Linked DNA regions of Pelodiscus sinensis. The protein of the gene in region 1 purifies or fractionates together with the protein of each later gene. This does not show direct contact. Links are inferred from orthologs where the notes say so. Each region holds a gene or a part of one and is shown on either strand. Other genes may lie near its edges.

The links.
Region 2: the proteins of MTMR1 (region 1) and SBF1 purify together in Homo sapiens (affinity purification with mass spectrometry; 4 studies listed by BioGRID and IntAct, with this or other methods). This does not show direct contact. The link is inferred for Pelodiscus sinensis from reciprocal best matches to the Homo sapiens genes MTMR1 and SBF1.
Region 3: the proteins of MTMR1 (region 1) and SBF2 purify together in Homo sapiens (affinity purification with mass spectrometry; 3 studies listed by BioGRID and IntAct, with this or other methods). This does not show direct contact. The link is inferred for Pelodiscus sinensis from reciprocal best matches to the Homo sapiens genes MTMR1 and SBF2.

The regions. Positions count from the first base shown.
Region 1 is NC_134723.1:42,197,564-42,204,948, forward strand, and holds the start of MTMR1 (phosphatidylinositol-3-phosphate phosphatase MTMR1), read left to right. Parts: upstream 1-4,332; 5' UTR 4,333-4,474; coding exon 4,475-4,602; intron 4,603-7,385. UniProt on the Homo sapiens protein: Lipid phosphatase that specifically dephosphorylates the D-3 position of phosphatidylinositol 3-phosphate, generating phosphatidylinositol. Could also dephosphorylate phosphatidylinositol 3,5-bisphosphate to produce phosphatidylinositol 5-phosphate.
Region 2 is NC_134711.1:939,138-946,108, forward strand, and holds the start of SBF1 (myotubularin-related protein 5), read right to left. Parts: upstream 3,094-6,971; 5' UTR 2,931-3,093; coding exon 2,876-2,930; intron 1-2,875. UniProt on the Homo sapiens protein: Acts as an adapter for the phosphatase MTMR2 to regulate MTMR2 catalytic activity and subcellular location. Promotes the exchange of GDP to GTP, converting inactive GDP-bound Rab proteins into their active GTP-bound form.
Region 3 is NC_134714.1:105,401,484-105,409,365, reverse strand, and holds the start of SBF2 (myotubularin-related protein 13), read right to left. Parts: upstream 3,068-7,882; 5' UTR 2,919-3,067; coding exon 2,864-2,918; intron 1-2,863. UniProt on the Homo sapiens protein: Guanine nucleotide exchange factor (GEF) which activates RAB21 and possibly RAB28. Promotes the exchange of GDP to GTP, converting inactive GDP-bound Rab proteins into their active GTP-bound form.

The DNA.
Region 1 (7,385 bases):
ATGTGTAAATTAAGTTTATGTAAGTATATAAAATATAGTTTATTAGAAATTGTGCAGTTTTTGTAAAGTGTAAATATTTGGGTACAAAAGCTAAACTTAAAGCATATAGCTGGATAAAAATCAGATAGTTGAGAGAACATTGGAATATTTTAGAAATAGTATTTTGCATAACAATAAAGCGCCTCTTAATTTGAAACAGTAAATATTATGCTAAGAAAATTGCACTATTTTTTTTTCAGGGAAATACAGAATATTGCTTGTATTGTGTGTGTTCTAAGGACATGTTGCTGATCTCCACTTATTTTTGTCCTGTCAATTTCATTCTTCCCCATATCTGTCTTGTACATTATTCTGCATATGTATCTGGAGCAGCAGCTTTGAGGTCCGTTTCCCGTCCTCTCTCCGCTCCCCCTCTCTTCCTAAAAATCTTGACATGTTAAGATAAATTGGGTGCAGAACATATAATGAACAAGGAAGCTCAAATTAATCTCTGCCACTTATCTGTATGGCAGAGTATAACATAATTTAAAAACTATGCAGATTATGGTGTAACTGCCTTCTGTTTGTGTATGGTTTATAAAAAAAATAGGTTTTCTGACAGTTTGACAATTGTACAGATTGGATCAAACAGGTGTAGAATCTCTTTCAACAGTGTGGAAGATTTAAGAAAATCTAGTTTTACTTTGTAAATACTACATGATAAGCCTATTGTTCAATACAATGAAAAGTATTAAAGGCATTTGTTTTCATTTCATATATACAATTCATTTATATTGCCAATACAGTTTATACTGCATATTTTTATATGGCTAGAGCTGAAATTCATTGAAAACCTGTAAGTTAGCTATATGTTCCCTTGGATTCTTTGTGAAGACAGTAATTTAGAATAAAACACTTGTTTTTAATTCTATTAAAATAGCAATCTTAAATACAAAACTGAACCTTTCTGATTTTTTGAAGCTTCTATTCATTCTAGCAGATGTGCACCTTTTAATCTTAACATGACTCTGGATATAGGAATGAAACCTATGATTGATATTAATACATAGCTTTTTCTGTTTGTTTTAAACTGCATGTTTAGCTCCTGATTTTGTGGTTCACTGCATGCTGGTGAACACTGGAGCTCTGTCTGGACACAGCAGTGGATTGTAGAATTGGGTCCTACACAGCAATTGGTTCAGTTTCTTAGCCAAGGTAGTTAGGAGAGACCAGCCAAACTCTTAGTTTAGGGAGGGTGAATGAGATGAAAGTTTTTAGGCATTTTTAAGAACAATGTTGGACAGTCTTTTATTGTTGTGTGTTTCTGCACCATGGTGCCTGCCAAAATGACTTCAGCAAATCTCCATTGTGAGGAAATCCCCTTCTTCCTCACCTCAGAAAAATTCTTTTCTTTTACATCAGACAGGGTTTAGATATAAAAGATGAACAAGCTGCACATACGTATCCTGTGTTACTACCGTGATCACCCATGCCAGCTCCAAAATGTTAGTTTCCTTCTCCCATTCCTATTTGCATGCTATTTCAAAGGAGTGTGGGCAATACGTTTCATAGGGGAGGTGACTTAATGAATTTTGGTATGTGGTTATGGGCCTGCTCCACCCAGGAAGGGGCAGGACTTGAGGTGGAAGGGGGTGTGGCTGGGGACTATTCTTCCCCAGAGTTGTCTAGGCCAGAGGCTTTGAATTAAAAACACACAAAGGGCATGTGCCTCCTCCACTAGGGTGTTGTCTGGCAGCTGCCATGGGTTGCTGTGGCTCTGTCCCCTGCCAGGAGCCATATAAATAGGATTCTGCTGCCTGAGCCACTGCTTGTAAATTTGATGACGTGGGCTGCAAGATATAAATAGAAAGTGGCCAGATGCAATCTGCTGGTCGGATCGAAGTGTTAGGTGGACCACACATTGCCCAGCCCGGGCCTAGAATGAGCACCCAGTTCCGTTATGTCAAGTCCCAACTTCTCCTTATTCATAGCTCTTCTAAAAATTCACTTTTTGCCCTTGTTGCACATTCTTGTAACATCATGTTACAGGTATACCGATTATAAAACTCCCTTATTGTTCTATGAAACCTGTCTTTTAGGACAGTTAACTCTTCAAGGCAGACTCTTGCTTTTGTACAGCACGGCAGAGCACATTGTCATTGATCAACAAAACATTATTTACAAATAACCAGAATTCTAAAAATGTGGGGTTTTTAAGCTGCATGGTACGTAGCAAAACATTGTAACAGTTCAGACATAGCAGATGCGGTCTCTAGCACATTTGTAATTCTTTGTAATCAAATAATACAACTGCATGTATGAGTGAAAGAAAAAGGTTTCATGTTGATGTCTGGATTTTTATGCATCTATCTTGCTAGAGAGATTTTATACTTTTCAGCCAATTTGGTTATTAAATCAATTTATCTTTCACATAATTGGCATAGTAACTCAGATTTGCTAATTACTAAAGATGCTATTGTTTAAAGCAGTGTTTCTCAACTAGTGGTACAAGTACCCTTAGAAGTACTTGCGAGAAGCCTGGGGGGGCGGGGGTATGTCAACACCACTGATATTGGGAACTGAATTTTAAGCTTTATTATTTTTGTACTTTTTACACCCAAAAATGTCATCGCCCACCCAGCTACAATTAAGTTGTTTAAACAAATGTATTGCAATGGTAGAAAAAAAAAGTGTTTGAAAACTTTAGGTACTTGGGGTACTTAGAATTTTTTGTAAGAGATATTTTATAATAAAAAAAAAAAAGGTTGAGAAACACTGGTAAAAGTGTGTGCTCCTTAAAAATAGATGTAAAATTTGAGAGCATCTCAAACTCCAGTTGATAAAGTTTATAAGCCTTATTCTTTTTTATTGACATTGGGAGGCTACTTGGAGAAAATGTTATGCACTCAAACTTTTTAAACAGATTCCTTAGAATACTTGCTAAATGAAATGTACTGCTGCCATTAGTGAACATCTTTTTATCAGTCCTAATTCTTCTTTACAGGAAGAACTGGCTGTACCCGTTCTTTTATTGTAATCTGCTTGATAATCAAAACCATGCCACCAGTTCAGTGGTTCCCAAACTTTTTGGCATCACACCCTCCTTTTTGATTTCTGAAAAACCCTTATGCCCCCCCCAAACAGCAGCAAAAAAAAAAAAAAAAAGGAACTGAGAGGGGGAATTTGATAGCCTTCAACTTCCTGAAGGGAGGTTCCAAAGAGGATGGAGAAAGGCTGTTCTCAGTAGTGACAGATGGCAGAACAAGGAGCAATGGTCTCAAAGTTGTGGTGGGAAAAGTCCAGGTTGGATATTAGGAAAAACTATTTCACTAGGAGGGTGGTGAAGCACTGGAATGGGTTACCTAGGGAAGTAGTGGAGTCTCCATCCCTAGAGGTGTTTAAGTCTCGGCTTGACAAAGCCCTGGCCTGGTTGATTTAGTTGGAATTGGTCCTGTCTAGAGCAGGGGGCTGGACTCGGTGACCTTCTGAGGTCTCTTCCAGCTCTATGGTTCTATGATTCTAACTGACCAGGGCAGCAAAACGTGATTGGGGGGGAGGAGGGAGGCTGGGTTGCCTTGCGCCCTCCTGGACTTTCTTCACGCCCCCCCCAGTTTGGGAACCCATGAGTTACAGACTAGGAGATCAATATACTGATCTAAAGCGTGGTATACTTCCCCTCCACAATAGCAAAAGGATCAAAGTAAAAAAACCCATCTTTTGGGTTGTCATCCAGCTGTACCACATTCCTCAAACTCCCCATAGTTAAAACTCGCTGACATGTTGGGAGGAGGCTACAGTAGAAATAATAAAAAGCCTGTGGACTATCCCTTCCAGGGGGAGGTTAGTTACATTACAAAATAAATCCTCTTCTGAAAGTGAGATACATGACCACGCGGAGAGGGGTTTCTCTCCAAACACAAAGGAGCCTGTTTCCTTTCCTAATCCGATCCCTGCATTCCAAGGGAAGTGCTGAAGCCCTCTCTGGTGGGTACCCGGCCTGAGGGCAGTGCTGCTGTGCTAGCCCAGTGCTTCCCACACTTTTTGGCATCACCGCCCCTTTTTGATTTCTGAACCCCCCCCCCCCAAAATAGCAGCAACACTTGTTGAGCAAAAAAGGGGGGGGGGGACAGCAAAGCTGGATGGGGGCGGGCTGGGTCGCCTGGCGCCCCCCTGGAGTTTCTTGACCCCCCCTTTGGAACCCCACGTTCTCCCCCCTCAGGCGGGGCGTGCCGCCTCCCTGCCCCGTGGGGGGCCCAGTCCGGCTCGGCGAGGCCAAGCCCCCGCCCCAGGCCTGCCCGGCTGCGCGCCCTCAGCTCGCGGGGGGGCGTTGGACACGGAGGGGGGGCTCCCCCCTGCGAGGCCAGGCTCCGGCGGCCCCGTGTGAGGGGAGGGGGGGCGTCCGGGCCGCTCCCCGCCCTCTGGGCGCCGCGGAGGCCTGTGGGTAAGCGCCGCCGCCAGGTGACAGTTCCTGGGCCCGGCGGATCGCGGCGGGGCGATGGAGCGGCCGGCGGCGGGGCCGGCCCTGGAGGGCCTCGGCGGGGCGGCCCGCAGGTCCGTGCGGCCGGCAGGGCCGGGGGGCGCCGCCGCGGGCCCCCGCCAGCCCAGCGTGGAGACCTTGGACAGGTGGGTGAGCAGCCCCCCCGCGACCCGCCCGCAGCTCCCCCGGCTCCTCCCCCGCGCTGGGCTCCTGGGGCGGCTCCTTCCCCTCAGCGGCCCGGGCGGGGTAGCGCCTAGAGACGACCCCCCCCCCCGCCAGTCAGTGCAGAGGTGGTGGGGTCTCCTCATGGGGGGGGGGGTTCTGTGGGGCGAGCGAGGGGCCCGGCGTCACCTCCCCCCCCCCGACTGTGGGGACCCCCTTCCCGCAGGGGCGCTCGATATCGGTGAGGCGCGAGGAGGCGACCCTCCTGAATTCTTATCGGTTACCCCCCTGTTCCGGCGGTAGAGCCCGCGGGCTCCGGCCCCGCTCCGGAGGGGCCCCCCGTCGTGCTGATGGAGGTGCCAGGCGGGAGCTGGTCCCAGCGGGGAGCCGGTTCAAAAACCAGCTCCCCTCCGGGACCGGCTGCCTGTCGCCCTGCGCGGCTGCCTCGGATGCAGCGGCAGCAGCGCACGGTGGTAGCAATCTCTGTCCAGCGGGAGGGGAGAGCTGAACTCCTGGATCTGGCGTGTGCCGGAACTGACTCCGGTTGCCTGGCTCCTAATATACTTTAAATGCAGAGCCGCAGCGGGGGTAGGTCTGGGACCCAGCTTGAGCCAAGACTAAGCCAGACTGCTGACCAGCCTGCTGAAAAATGTACTGATGGGGGAGGGGGGAAATGCATGTAGTCTATAGCATTAACCGATAAGGTTTTGCTTATCAGTTAATCGACTACACTGTTACATCCCTACTTCCGGGACAGGGTCATTTTGCGAATGGCGCTTGCCTACCTAGAATGTACAGGATGTGCCGATTGAACCGTAGCAGCGCTTTGATTGGATGCAGAGGGAACACACAGCTCTCACAGACTATGCTGTGTGCAATCAGCACACGCCTGACTTCATGTGCCCTTGCTTTACGGGCTTGTAGCTTTAGTAATACATGTAGGAAAAACCTACATGGCTAGAAACCGATGGAATCTGACAACCTTGTGCATGATCAGTGATAAACAAAATGTCTCATGGGCCGCACGTAGAACCCTGATGGGCTGCATACAGCCTGTGGGCCACTGGTTGTCCACCATTGGCAAAGCTTTAGTGGGTAAAATCCACTTTAGCAGATGCATGTGAAGAAGTGGGTTTTCGCCCACGAAAGCTCATGCTCAAATAAATCTGTTCATTTTTAAGGTGCCACAGGACATTTTGTTGTTTTTGCCAAATGATTGAAACTGTTGTTTTACACCACTGTAGCTTTATGCAGTGCTCCGTGCAGCAGGTTGCATTTGTGACATAAATGTGGAGATTGGAATTGTAACCTCAAACAAATGGAAAACTATCCAATTTGAGTGATGTACTTCATGCCTTAAAAAATGGGGGAAAATTATTACATAACTTACCTTAGGTAAGTGATATCTGAGAGAGCTTTTAAAAGCTCTAATACATATGCATGCTACATCAATATGAACAAATCTAGTATGCACAAACTGATAGGTAACCTTATGGGAGCCGTGTGAGTAGCTGGAATCAAGCAAAAAAAAAAAAAAAAAAAAAAAGCCCCCCAAACCAATAATTGCTTTGTGTTGGTTTTACGCTGTGGTAATGGTTGTCTCTCTTTTTCTTCTCCTTCCACCTTGACACATGCTTGATGGGCTTGGAATTGCAGGCAAGACTGATTTCTGGATAAAATACAGTAGTGGATTGCTTGAGATCAGACTGTTTTGTGAAGTGCATGTTGTTTGTGTTAAATTAGCAGTGTTTTATTTACATAGGGGAAGTGAGAAGCATCTTCTTTTTTTTCAGGCACTTATACATTTCTTCCCAATATGTTTTTGGGTTGAAGTTCCTCCCGCTTCTATCTTACCAAAGAAGAATTTTCTTGCAAATGTAACATTTCCTTTATCAGTTAGCATTATCAGAACATGTGAGGAAATTATCTTTTAACTGTTTAGGATGGCAATTTGGGATTTAGATAATTCAAAAGTTGGTTATTTAAAAATATTTACCTATAGTGTTCAAAGTAATTTTGTTTAGAAATACAAAGATAATTATATTCCTTTGATACTAGAGTGAGGCTGGGAGAAGGCATGTTATGCATATGTGAAGAACAGTATCGTGGTACCAATAGTGAACCTTGCAGTTCCTGGCATTAAGAGGGGAGGCTTTTATGTACAACTGCTTGAATATCAAAGCAAGCCTTGACTGTGCTTGTAGAGCGTCTCCTCCCTCCTGTCATAGCAACATTCAGCATTGCTATGATTCATAAGAGTATAAGAACGGCCATACTGGTCAGACGAGTGGTTTGTCTAGCTCAGTATCCTGTTCTCTGCTAGTAGCCAATGCCAGATACGTCTGAGGGAATGAACAGAACAGTTAATCATCAAGTAATTTATCCTGTGCCACCCATTCCCAGCTTCAGCATGCTTTTACAGTCATGCCCATCCTGGGTAATAGCTATCGATGGATCTATCTTCTTTGAACCTATCTAAGGTTTGTGGGGTTTTTTTTGTTTTTTTTTAAACCCTCTTCTAGTTTTGGCCTTTACAACATCTTCTGACAAAGAGTTTCACAGGTTGACTGTGTGTTGTGTAAAGAAATATTTCCTTTTGTTTGTTTTAAATGTGCTGTCTGCCCATTAATTTATTTGGTGACCCCAGTTCTTAAATTATGAAGAGTAAATAACACTTTATTTATTTATTTATTTTATTCCAGTCATGATTTTATAGACCTCTGCCATATCCCCATTAGTTGTCTCTTTCCAAGCTGAAACATCCCAA
Region 2 (6,971 bases), on another chromosome or scaffold:
AGTGCCTGCTTCTTCCCATGAACCAGACCCACCCACAGGCTCATCCTCTTCCACACCTGGCCCCTGATGGCCAGGGCCCATCTGCATTCACTGTCCCATGGCAAGGAGCGCAGCCCCCCGCACTCCCTACCTCCACCACATCCCTAACAGCAACCCCCACAGCCAGCCCACCTCATCCTCTCAGCCATCGCACTCACCCACCCCACCGCAGGCAGCACCCCGTCCCCAGCCGGCCCATCGCCCCCACACTCACCCACCCGCCCACCCTCACCACAGCCCGGGCAGCACCCGCTCCCCAGCCGGCCCATCGCCCCCACACTCACCCACCCACCCTCACCACAGCCCGGGTAGCACCCCCTCCCCAGCCGGCCCATCGCCCCCACACTCACCCACCCACCCTCACCACAGCCCGGGTAGCACCCGCTCCCTAGCCGGCCCATCGCCCCCACACTCACCCACCCACCCTCACCACAGCCCGGGTAGCACCCGCTCCCCAGCCGACCCATCGCCCCCACACTCACCCACCCACCCTCACCACAGCCCGGGTAGCACCCCCTCCCCAGCCGGCCCATCGCCCCCACACCCACCCACCCACCCTCACCACAGCCCGGGTAGCACCCCCTCCCCAGCCGGCCCATCGCCCCCACACTCACCCACCCACCCACCCTCACCACAGCCCGGGTAGCACCCGCTCTCCAGCCGGCCCATCGCCCCCACACTCACCCACCCACCCTCACCACAGCCCGGGTAGCACCCCCTCCCCAGCCGGCCCATCGCCCCCACACCCACCCACCCACCCTCACCACAGCCCGGGTAGCACCCCCTCCCCAGCCGGCCCATCGCCCCCACACTCACCCACCCACCCACCCTCACCACAGCCCGGGTAGCACCCGCTCTCCAGCCGGCCCATCGCCCCCACACTCACCCACCCACCCTCACCACAGCCCGGGTAGCACCCCCTCCCCAGCCGGCCCATCGCCCCCACACCCACTCACCCACCCACCCTCACCACAGCCCGGGTAGCACCCGCTCCCCAGCCGGCCCATCGCCCCCACACCCACTCACCCACCCACCCTCACCACAGCCCGGGTAGCACCCGCTCCCCAGCCGGCCCATCGCCCCCACACCCACCCACCCACCCTCACCACAGCCCGGGTAGCACCCGCTCCCCAGCCGGCCCATCGCCCCCACACCCACCCACCCACCCTCACCACAGCCCAGGCATCAATTTACCTGCCCAGCCTGGCAACACCACTCCGCCCCCCCCACACACACACACACTGCCCCCCCACACACACACACTGCCCCCCCACACACACACTCTGCCCCCCACACACACACACACTGCCCCCCCCACACACACACACTCTGCCCCCCCCACACACACACACTCTGCCCCCCCCACACACACACACTCTGCCCCCCCCACACACACACACTCTGCCCCCCCCACACACACACACTCTGCCCCCCCACACACACACACTCTGCCCCCCCCACACACACACACTCTGCCCCCCCCACACACACTCCCCCCCACACACACACTCTGCCCCCCACACACACACTCTGCCCCCCACACACACTCCCCCCCACACACACACTCTGCCCCCCCCCACACACACTCCCCCCCACACACACACACACTCCCCCCCCCACACACACACTCCCCCCCCCACACACACACTCTGCCCCCCCCCCCACACACACTCTGCCCCCCCCCACACACACTCCCCCCCACACACACACTCCCCCCCACACACACACTCTGCCCCCCACACACACACTCTGCCCCCCCACACACACACTCTGCCCCCCACACACACACACTCTGCCCCCCCCACACACACTCTGCCCCCCCCCCCACACACTCTGCCCCCCCCCACACACACTCCCCCCCACACACACACTCCCCCCCACACACACACTCTGCCCCCCACACACACACTCTGCCCCCCCACACACACACTCTGCCCCCCACACACACACACTCTGCCCCCCCCACACACACTCTGCCCCCCCCCCCACACACTCTGCCCCCCCCACACACACACACTCTGCCCCCCCCACACACTCCCCCCCACACACACACTCTGCCCCCCCCACACACACTCTGCCCCCCCCACACACACTCTGCCCCCCCCACACACACACACACTGCCCCCCCACACACACACACTGCCCCCCCACACACACACTCTGCCCCCCACACACACACACACTGCCCCCCCCACACACACTCTGCCCCCCCCCCCACACACTCTGCCCCCCCCACACACACACACTCTGCCCCCCCCACACTCTGCCCCCCCCACACACACTCTGCCCCCCCCACACACACTCTGCCCCCCCCACACACACTCTGCCCCCCCCACACACACTCTGCCCCCCCCACACACACACACTCTGCCCCCCCCACACACACACACTCTGCCCCCCCACACACACACACTCTGCCCCCCCCACACACACTCCCCCCCACACACACACTCTGCCCCCCCCACACACACTCCCCCCCACACACACTCCCCCCCACACACACACTCTGCCCCCCCCCACACACACTCTGCCCCCCACACACACTCCCCCCCACACACACACTCTGCCCCCCCCCACACACACTCTGCCCCCCACACACACACTCTGCCCCCCCCCACACACACACTCCCCCCCACACACACTCCCCCCCACACACACACTCTGCCCCCCCCCACACACACTCTGCCCCCCACACACACACTCTGCCCCCCACACACACTCCCCCCCACACACACACTCTGCCCCCCCCCACACACACTCCCCCCCACACACACACTCCCCCCCACACACACACACTCTGTCTCCCCCCCCCCCCCCCGGCCCGGCCCGCGCTCACCCCGCTTGTCCAGCTCGTAGCCCACCAGCACGAAGTAATCCGCCAGGCGGGCCATGGCGAGGCCGGGCCGGGCCGGCAGCGGCGAGACGCGGGCGCTGGGGCGGGGCCGCGCGGCTCATAGCCCGGCCGCCCCGGCCGCCCCCACGTCAGAGCCCGCCCGGCGGCGCCGAGCCCCAGCCGCCATCTTCCCTCCGCCGGACCCAGCCCGCACGGACCGCGGGCGCATGCGCGGGGCGGGGCTGAGGGCGGGGGACCGGCCATTGGCCGCCACGCGGCGGGGGCGGGACCAGCTGGGAGGGGGCGCGATTGACCCCTCTCGGCCGGCCTGTACCATGTGGGAGGGGTGTTACCCCAGAGCCCCCTCTCGGCCGGCCTGTACCATGTGGGAGGGGTGTTACCCCAGAGACCCCTCTCGGCCGGCCTGTACCATGTGGGAGGGGTGTTACCCCAGAGACCCCTCTCGGCCGGCCTGTACCATGTGGGAGGGGAGTTACCCCAGAGACCCCTCTCGGCCGGCCTGTACCATGTGGGAGGGGTGTTACCCCAGAGACCCCTCTCGGCCGGCCTGTACCATGTGGGAGGGGAGTTACCCCAGAGACCCCTCTCGGCCGGCCTGTACCATGTGGGAGGGGAGTTACCCCATCGCCCCCCCCCCGGCCAGGCTGTACTGCAGGGGTGTTACTGTTACCCCATCGCCCCCCCCCGGCCAGGCTGTACCGCGGGGGTGTTACTGTTACCCCATCGCCCCCCCCCGGCCAGGCTGTACCGCAGGGGTGTTACTGTTACCCCATCGCCCCCCCCGGCCAGGCTGTACCGCAGGGGTGTTACTGTTACCCCATCGCCCCCCCCCGGCCAGGCTGTACCGCAGGGGTGTTACTGTTACCCCATCGCCCCCCCCCGGCCAGGCTGTACCGCAGGGGTGTTACTGTTACCCCATCGCCCCCCCCGGCCAGGCTGTACTGCAGGGGTGTTACTGTTACCCCATCGCCCCCCCCCGGCCAGGCTGTACCGCAGGGGTGTTACTGTTACCCCATCGCCCCCCCGGCCAGGCTGTACCGCAGGGGTGTTACTGTTACCCCATCGCCCCCCCGGCCAGGCTGTACCGTAGGGGTGTTACTGTTACCCCATCGCCCCCCCCCGGCCAGGCTGTACCGCAGGGGTGTTACTGTTACCCCATCGCCCCCCCCCGGCCAGGCTGTACCGCAGGGGTGTTACTGTTACCCCATCGCCCCCCCGGCCAGGCTGTACCGTAGGGGTGTTACTGTTACCCCATCGCCCCCCCCCCGGCCAGGCTGTACCGCAGGGGTGTTACTGTTACCCCATCGCCCCCCCCGGCCAGGCTGTACCGCAGGGGTGTTACTGTTACCCCATCGCCCCCCCCCCCCGGCCAGGCTGTACCGCAGGGGTGTTACTGTTACCCCATCGCCCCCCCCGGCCAGGCTGTACCGCGGGGGTGTTACTGTTACCCCATCGCCCCCCCCGGCCAGGCTGTACCGCAGGGGTGTTACTGTTACCCCATCGCCCCCCCCCGGCCAGGCTGTACCGCGGGGGTGTTACTGTTACCCCATCGCCCCCCCCGGCCAGGCTGTACCGCAGGGGTGTTACTGTTACCCCATCGCCCCCCCCCGGCCAGGCTGTACCGCGGGGGTGTTACTGTTACCCCATCGCCCCCCCCGGCCAGGCTGTACCGCAGGGGTGTTACTGTTACCCCATCGCCCCCCCCCGGCCAGGCTGTACCGCGGGGGTGTTACTGTTACCCCATCGCCCCCCCCCGGCCAGGCTGTACCGCGGGGGTGTTACTGTTACCCCATCGCCCCCCCCGGCCAGGCTGTACCGCAGGGGTGTTACTGTTACCCCATCGCCCCCCCCGGCCAGGCTGTACCGCAGGGGTGTTACTGTTACCCCATCGCCCCCCCCCCCGGCCAGGCTGTACCGCAGGGGTGTTACTGTTACCCCATCGCCCCCCCGGCCAGGCTGTACTGCAGGGGTGTTACTGTTACCCCATCGCCCCCCCCCCCGGCCAGGCTGTACTGCAGGGGTGTTACTGTTACCCCATCGCCCCCCCCCCGGCCAGGCTGTACCGCAGGGGTGTTACTGTTACCCCATCGCCCCCCCCCCCGGCCAGGCTGTACCGCAGGGGTGTTACTGTTACCCCATCGCCCTCCCCCGGCCAGGCTGTACCGCAGGGGTGTTACTGTTACCCCATCGCCCCCCCCCGGCCAGGCTGTACCGCAGGGGTGTTACTGTTACCCCATCGCCCCCCCCCCCGGCCAGGCTGTACTGCAGGGGTGTTACTGTTACCCCATCGCCCCCCCCCGGCCAGGCTGTACCGCAGGGGTGTTACTGTTACCCCATCGCCCCCCCCCCGGCCAGGCTGTACTGCAGGGGTGTTACTGTTACCCCATCGCCCCCCCCCCCGGCCAGGCTGTACCGCAGGGGTGTTACTGTTACCCCATCGCCCCCCCCCCCCGGCCAGGCTGTACTGCAGGGGTGTTACTGTTACCCCATCGCCCCCCCCCCCGGCCAGGCTGTACTGCAGGGGTGTTACTGTTACCCCATCGCCCCCCCGGCCAGGCTGTACCGCAGGGGTGTTACTGTTACCCCATCGCCCCCCCCCGGCCGGGCTGTACCGCAGGGGTGTTACTGTTACCCCATCGCCCCCCCCGGCCAGGCTGTACCGCAGGGGTGTTACTGTTACCCCATCGCCCCCCCCCCCCGGCCAGGCTGTACTGCAGGGGTGTTACTGTTACCCCATCGCCCCCCCCCCGGCCAGGCTGTACTGCAGGGGTGTTACTGTTACCCCATCGCCCCCCCGGCCAGGCTGTACCGCAGGGGTGTTACTGTTACCCCATCGCCCCCCCCCGGCCGGGCTGTACCGCAGGGGTGTTACTGTTACCCCATCGCCCCCCCCGGCCAGGCTGTACCGCAGGGGTGTTACTGTTACCCCATCGCCCCCCCCCCCGGCCAGGCTGTACCGCAGGGGTGTTACTGTTACCCCATCGCCCCCCCGGCCAGGCTGTACCGCAGGGGTGTTACTGTTACCCCATCGCCCCCCCCGGCCGGGCTGTACCGCAGGGGTGTTACTGTTACCCCATCGCCCCCCCCCCGGCCAGGCTGTACCGCAGGGGTGTTACTGTTACCCCATCGCCCCCCCGGCCAGGCTGTACTGCGGGGGTGTTACTGTTACCCCATCGCCCCCCCCGGCCAGGCTGTACCGCAGGGGTGTTACTGTTACCCCATCGCCCCCCCCCGGCCAGGCTGTACCGCAGGGGTGTTACTGTTACCCCATCGCCCCCCCCGGCCGGGCTGTACCGCAGGGGTGTTACTGTTACCCCATCGCCCCCCCCCCGGCCAGGCTGTACCGCAGGGGTGTTACTGTTATCCCATCGCCCCCCCCCCGGCCAGGCTGTACCGCAGGGGTGTTACTGTTACCCCATCGCCCCCCCCCCGGCCAGGCTGTACCGCAGGGGTGTTACTGTTACCCCATCGCCCCCCCCCCCGGCCAGGCTGTACCGCAGGGGTGTTACTGTTACCCCATCGCCCCCCCCGGCCGGGCTGTACCGCAGGGGTGTTACTGTTACCCCCATCGCCCCCCCCGGCCAGGCTGTACCGCAGGGGTGTTACTGTTACCCCATCGCCCTCCCCCGGCCAGGCTGTACCGCAGGGGTGTTACTGTTACCCCATCGCCCCCCTGGGCCAGGCTGTACCGCAGGGGTGTTACTGTTACCCCATCGCCCCCCCCCCCGGCCAGGCTGTACCGCAGGGGTGTTACTGTTACCCCATCGCCCCCCCGGCCAGGCTGTACCGCAGGGGTGTTACTGTTACCCCATCGCCCCCCCCGGCCAGGCTGTACCGCAGGGGTGTTACTGTTACCCCATCGCCCCCCCCGGCCAGGCTGTACCGCAGGGGTGTTACTGTTACCCCATCGCCCCCCCCGGCCAGGCTGTACCGCAGGGGTGTTACTGTTACCCCATCGCCCTCCCCCGGCCAGGCTGTACCGCAGGGGTGTTACTGTTACCCCATCGCCCCCCCCCCCCGGCCAGGCTGTACTGCAGGGGTGTTACTGTTACCCCATCGCCCCCCCCCCGGCCAGGCT
Region 3 (7,882 bases), on another chromosome or scaffold:
GTATAAATATGCAGGCCAGGATCAGGCTGGAGATGACGAGGTGGATCCAATCAAGGAGGATGAGATGAGGCCCACTTCTAGCAGCTGATCTGGAGGTGTGAATTCCAAGAGAGCAGAAGCTGCTTTTGTAGTTAGCAAGCCATTCACAGTCTTTGTTTAATCCAGAGTTGATTGTGTTGACTGTCCTGTTTGGCCGATGTATATAGCAGTGGGGCATTGTTGGCACATGATGGCATATATTACGTTGGTGGATGTGCAGGACATTGTCACTGGTACATTCTCCTGCACATCCACCAACGTAATATATGCCATCATGTGCCAACAATGCCCCACTGCTATATACATCGGCCAAACAGGACAGTCCCTACGTAAAAGAATCAATGGATACAAATCTGATATTAGGAATGGCAACATACAAAAACCTGTAGGGGAACACTTCAGTCTTCCTGGACACACAATTGCAGATCTAAAAGTAGCCATCCTGCAGCAAAAAAACTTCAGGACCAGACTTCAAAGAGAAACTGCTGAGCTACAGTTCATCTTTAAGTTTGACACAATCAACTCTGGATTAAACAAAGACTGTGAATGGCTTGCTAACTACAAAAGCAGCTTCTGCTCTCTTGAAATTCACACCTCCAGATCAGCTGCTAGAAGTGGGCCTCATCTCATCCTCCTTGATTGGATCCACCTCGTCATCTCCAGCCTGATCCTGGCCTGCATATTTATACCTGCCTCTGGAAATTTCCTCTACATGCATCTGACGAAGTGGGTCTTTGCCCACGAAAGCTTATGCTCCTACACTTCAGTTAGTCTATAAGGTGCCACAGGACTCCTCGTCGCTTAAACTATTTCAGGAGACAAACTCTTCAGATTAAGGCCCCATCCTGGAAACGCTTATGCACATTTAGAACTTCACACAAGGTAGCAGTCCAGAAGTCAATAAGATGTGAACGGAATAATGCATATGCTTAAGTGTTTGAACACTCAGGTTTTACAGATATTTGTCCAAGTTTGATCAGTCAATTTACTTCATATAGCAAATATATCAAAGTTGACAGCATCCCTTTAGTAAAAAGCAATCTATATCTTGTATCTTCCACTCTATTGCCCTTTGCTTCTTGCACCCTATTTTCACTTCACAGTGCTTTGTAAATCTATAATTTCACATTGGGATTAGAAAAGACGATATATATGTTATAATGGAAGGACCCAATTATGGTGTGAATTCTAGAAAGGACACCAAATCTTTTATTGACAGATTTTTATATAAGCCTTTCAATCTTATACATATGATTAATAGATTTTATTTGTATGTTAAAGAAAAAAGATGCTAATCTCTTACTATGTATATTTTGAAAATACATAAAATAAACTATGGATTAAGTACTACCTTTAGAGAATCTATTAATACAGACTCAAATACAAGATTTAAATAGGGTTTGTTAGATGTGGCTTTGGGTATTTAAAAAAACACTTAATCATTTAAAATCCATCTTAATTACAATAGCTTATTAAATGATCGCCCTAAAGTATCCACTGAAAGGCAAGTCTGTATGTATTTGTGTACCAGTGGACAACTGAATTGAAAGTGTAAAATACTGCAGTATAAAAGTTGAAAGCTCCTTCAGCAATATCCATAAACAAGTGATGTCATGTCATTATTGACAAATATGATAGAGAGAAAAATATATATTTCATTTAATTAGCAAAATATGATTTTTCTTTGCCTGCAAGGTTGTACACAGAACATAACTAATGTTTCTCCCTGTCTTCTGACCAGAGGGAAGCAAAAACATCTTTGTTGTGACAATTCTATAACAGATGCAACCTAACAGAGTCTACAAAATTCCATATTGTCATCTGCACTATATCAGCAATGGCATTCCAGCAAGTGATAACTAACAATTGTTTGTCCCCAAACAAGGACAATAAACCCAGTCGTTTTCCGGGGAGATCCCTGTTGACTTAGCCAACTTTCTTTTAGTATTATCTTTACTATTCTGCTAAACAAAACATTTAACACACAACACACACACACACACACACACACGCGCACACACACACACACAGAGGTAGGAGAAAGGAACAATAAAAATATTATTCCTTACAGTGAATACACCTCATAAAATAACAAACAAGAATTCTATCTGGGGATTCAGGTTAAGCTAACATTTTTAATAAATGTTGTTAAAAATGGCTGTTTTAATAAACAAAAGCTAATATATTTGTTAGTCTCTAAGGTGCCAAAGGACTACACGTTTTTAAAGATACAGACTAACACAGCTACCCCTCTGATGGTTTATATGATGAAAATTATGAGCCATTTAAAGTCTCTTTTTCATAATTTCCCTCATCCAAATGATCAAGATGGCTTCTATATAGCACAAAAGCCTGCATCCACTATGTGAAATTAGTGCCGGGATCAGACCTCTTCCTAGTCCTGACAATGACCATTCCCCTGCGTCATTCATGATTAGCTCAGGATATGACAGGAGCTTGGGGGGGGGGGGGGGGTTACTGGTGTATTTCTATTTTCACTGACAGACTGCGATAGCCACTCCGCACGTGTCCGTGCTCTGGGAAGGTTCTGAGGCAAACCTGCCTGCCTGGCTCCGCCGGAGGAGAAGAATCCCCCATCCCGCCACTGGCAAGCCACGAACCCCCTTCATGAAAGCAACCGCCTGACTCCACCAACCACCTGCACAAAAACTGTAGCGTTGCCCGCCAGTTCGCCCCTCTCCCCCAACAGCCTCTGGCACGCGCGGCCCCACCGCCTCCTCTCCTGGGTGCCAGCGTGACAGCAGGGCTGGCAAGGGAGGCCAGCCCCGCGCGGGGCGGCAGCGTTACACACCGCCACACCTACCTGGCTTCTCGTGGCCATAGCCCACCACAATGAAATAGTCAGCCAGCCTAGCCATGGCCGAGCCGGGCCCGCCTCGGCCCCCGCCACTACTGAGGCTCTGTTGCCGCTCGGACGCTCAGCATCCTGCCCCCTGCTCCAACAAGAGCAGCACCTCAGCCATGTTGGACGCCCAGGCGCATTATGCGCCTGCGCGCTACCTCAGCCGCTGTGCTATGACCCGGCCTGGGCTGGGCGTGGGCTGCGGGGTTTACAGTTCGCACGCGGCGCGGTGCTGCGGGGCTCTGTTGAGGCTATTGTCAATTTCACACAGGCTGTGGCGGGGTGCAGCGGCTTCCCACCCTGTTTGCATTTGCGAGTACACGCGGCACGAGCAGACCAGTGCATATGTAAAGCTCTCTCCCAAAATAAACGTGCTTGGTCTCGGCGCTTGAACTTGAGCTTGGCTTCTTCCTATTTCAAAGGGTTGCAGGCAGGTAGTTTACCCGTGCACTTCTAGTGCATGCAAAACCAGTCATGTCTCTCTCCAAAATTCCCACCCAAAGATTATGCTCCATAATCTGATAAAGACTGCAACAAGACAACATTGTTCTTTCCTCCTATTTATATTTATTGACGCATTTTTAGTTTAGCTCATGAAAACTACAAAAAAGGTAGCTAAGGGTCTTTCTAAAATATCCTCCCTGACCGAATTCAACACCTAAATATGGGGTTCGGATTTTTTTCTGTTATGAAATGTGCAGTGAAGCACATCGTCCTCTTTGTTTTATATAATATTTTGCAGATGCATGTATAAATTCAGTCTATGCCAAATAAACGCCTTAATAGGAACTATCACAGTATTGCCTTAAAATAGCCTCCCTGAGTAGCTTCTCAAGAATGGAATTTATAGTGACTATGAATTTCCAGGAAGTTTCCTGTTTACATTTTCTTTTGGATGTTAGGAACATGCAACAGTGCGGCAGGAAGCAAGCTTTCCTTAACTGAGTGCAGTTATAATGGCACAGCATTCACCAAGACCTTTAAGTTTTTTCTAGTAACTATATGACTGTTATGCTTAAACTGACTTATCTCTAGCAATAAAGTCAGCAGGGAAATCTGGGAGAAAGTCTGTGTGTATAAGAGAGAAAGGCTATGTCTACACTGCAGAGTTTTTCCAGGATACCAAACTCTGCTGCGTCCAGGGAATGCATCTGCTTTTCCGAATTTTTTTTCGGAAGAGCACACACGCTTTTTTGGCATCCCTGTAAACTTTGTTTTATGAGGAAGAAGGGATGTTCCAAAAAGGGGGGGGGGGCTCTGACATTTGGCCCGGTGTAGATGGGCCAACTGTCAGAAAAGCCTCTTCCGAAAAAAGAAGTAGAAAAGTTTTTCTAGAAGAACAGTGCAGTATAGACATAGCCAGAGAGAGAGAGAGAGAGAGGGGAAGAGAGGGTACGTATACTCAGCAACATTATTTTGAAATAACAGTCCGTGTGTACACAACAGGCCGTTATTTCAAAATAATGGCCAAAATACTGTCAAGCTGGAGGACTTCTTACTCCAACTCCTGTAACCCTCATTCCACAAGGAGTAAGGGAAATCGTAGGAGGAGTGCTTTATTTCAGAATAAGTACTGTGTAGACACTCCCAATTTCGAGATAAGCTATTTCAAAATAAGCTACACAATTGATGTTGCTCAATTTGTGTAGCTTATTTGGAGTTAAACCCAGTTGTGTAGATGCTCCCAGAGAAAGAGAAAGAGAAAGAGAAAGAGAGAACAGGCTGCCTGACTAGGCCTGGCCTAAATGCTATTAACCATATTGGATTGAAATCTTGATGTACCCTGAAATCCTGTTTCCGTACATATTTATTAACAGGTTTTCCAACTGTGCTTTCCTCTCCCACATATGTCACTTTCCATGTGGAGTACAGCTTAGGCACTAGCACCCAAGGAGGAAAAAATCAAGTAGTTATCACTTTAAATCCTCATCAGGAAGGTGTGACTCATGGGCAGTATCTCTTTAATTTAATATTTTTGATCTTCTGCTTACCCATTTCTGTGACACCTTAGCAAAATGCTATTCTTCAAGAGCCTACAGAGCTCATTTACTGTTAAGTGGAAGATTCCAGGATGCTATTTATAGTGTGTAAGTAGGACTGACAACTTTTGATCTTACCCCAAAGCCTAATTGGCCTACTGGGTGATGCAAAGATTTTGCTGAAATGTAGTGTGTCTGACAAGACATTGCTTGATTAACTGGTTGAGTGTATGCCCAAAATAGGCATGTTCAACAGCAGGATAGTTGGATCTGCAGCAGTAAGTGATATGAATCATTGTTCAGTTCAGTTACGTTACCACTGGATTTATTTCTAATCACACCACCATAAATCAGAATATGGAATACAGTAACAAACATATTTTATTTATGAACTTTATTTTCATATGTCAGATATTGAATAACTACACTTTACATTCAGAAGAGGTATAATTAGAAGCAACACTTTTCTAATATAGAACACAATTGTATGGATGATTAAAATCCTCCTGCTTGTTTACTTTCCAGCAGAGGGCAGCAGCTTATATTATTTATGGCAATTAATCATTCCAATATCATGTAGCAAGATTTAGACTTAATAAAATGCAGTGTAAGTGTCAGTAAAAAAGACAACAGTATAAGACGAATCTGTAATATTACATAACTTCTTAGAGAAAAAGAACTTTTGGGGATCTGATTAGATTATTTTGCTTCTCCCTGAGCATTAGAGAAGCAAGAAAAAATTTAAATGATACATTTTAAAAGTAGCGTGCAAGATTTTAGCAGTATCGTCCTCATGGATTTTAATGACTGAAACCAAAAGAGCTGTTTAAAAAATGTAGGGATAAAAAGTCTTAAAATAGTATCCTTTTACTAGTTTGAGATCTTTGGAAGAAAAATATTGCTGAAATAGCAAAAAAGGTATGCTTTAGTTAATCAATCATCTGTGTGAATTGGGATCAATGAGTCCCCACTAAAGTGAAACACAGCAATTGTTTGACCATGCTCAACAAGAATACAGAGCAGCTTTCAACAGTGACAGAATAGTATTCTGTACAATTGAAACTGCAGGGGAAGCTCATACAGACAGAATATAATCACCAAGTTTGGAATTTGACTAGGAGTTTTGGATTAACATTTCTACTTTTACAAAAAAATGCCCTGGAATTATTTTATCAAAACAAATTTGGGAACCTCTACTTCTGCACTTCATTTGAGAGCACACCTCAAAGCAGGTCAGTGTTACATAGGACTTTACTGGGATAATTAATTCAGTGTGCACCTAAGAGAAAAAAATATACTGAGGATTTCACCAACACTGCTACTAACAGTACCTCACTATTTATGCCTCTCCCATCCAAACAGACAAAGCCAAACCTTGGTTAGCTTGCAAAATCTAGTGGGATCACAGCACAGAGTGGCATGACTTAAAAACAGTCAATCAAAAGAAAAAGCACATCTTAATTTTAACTCACCTTGAACTAAACTACCTGGATGGTCACCATCATCATAGTATCTGACCATCTCCCAAATATTTATGGAGTAACCCTCTGTATATCTGTATCATCCAGTAATAGTACCCACTGCAAATGAGGACAAGGGACTAGATAGATAAGATTAGATACTTGCCTGAGGTCATAGAGGAAATCTATAGGAGAGGGAAGAATTGAAACTAATTTTACTGACTCCCTGTCCAACTCCTCAATACTGAGATCATATTTCCTCCTTGGGAGGGAGAGAAACTCATCCTGTTCTTCCTGGATATGAAAAAGAGTTCTCAGGACATTGGGTGGACTTACATTATAGATGGGACATTCCAGATGTTGAATATTATGGAGAAGTCCCAGGCCCTACATTTTCAAAAGTCTCTAAAGATATTTGGGTGCCTCAATTTTTGGATTCTCACCACTTTGTGAAAACCAGATGCCATTATCTCTTGTTAGGCACCTAAAATTCAAGGCACCTACTATCACTAGTCACTTTTGAATATGTTTGCCTTGATTAACTGAAAAGCAATAAACCTAAAAATAAGAGTTCTTCACTTTGATTTTGGCTGGGATTTTACACACTACTTAGTATAGAATACGTACATTAATATCTTTAGTTCAACTTCAAAGCCACTTTAATATGTAATATAACAATTTGCATTTAAATTTAATCATAGTAACATCAAGCCATACTTAAGTGGCAGCTTCCATACTCCTTGCATCCACTGACTTTAAGGGGAAATTTTCTTGCATAAGTCATGTGGAATTTGGCCAAAACTCTATCTTCCCATTGATGCACAGAAATTTTAGAGAAAGTCTCAGGACAATAATGCTACTTAGCACTTTACCTATTCAAAGTGCTGTACGAACACACACTAATCCTCACTATCTCCCTGCAAAGAAGGCATATACTGTTAATCCAATTGTACATACAGGAAAACTGAGATACAGAGAAGTTGAAGTGAGTTGCCCAAGGTCAACAGCAAGTCAGTAACAGATTAAAACTGCATATGTCATAATATGCAGTCTAGAACTCCTTCCTCCAGACCAGCGAGTTTCCCAATTAACAATAGTACTTATGGGAGAATGGACATATCATAGGAAAAAATAATATTTTCTATTGTATTTAATTATGTTGCCTCCAAAATATATTATAAATAATACAGTACTTACAAGGAACTTCCTGTCTCTGTTTTTTATGACGTGCAAGTAACTTGTCTATTTAAGAAATCATTTTCAAAATAAAAAAGGCACTATCACTCTGTGTACAAACCCAGTGCTTACAGCTCACGTTTAAACTCTTTGTGTGTGTGTGTATACTTACTTTCATATCTTTAGTTCAACTTCTAAGTCACTTTAATAGGACACAAGCATGTGAATTCAGAAAACAAGCATATGAAATCAGAAAGTTTTCACGTTAGAACTAAAATCAGCTTTACCTGTCCCAGCCCTTTTCAGAAACTACCCAGATTGATAAAGTGAGTGCCGAGTTTCAATCCCAAGTTAGGCTGATTTAT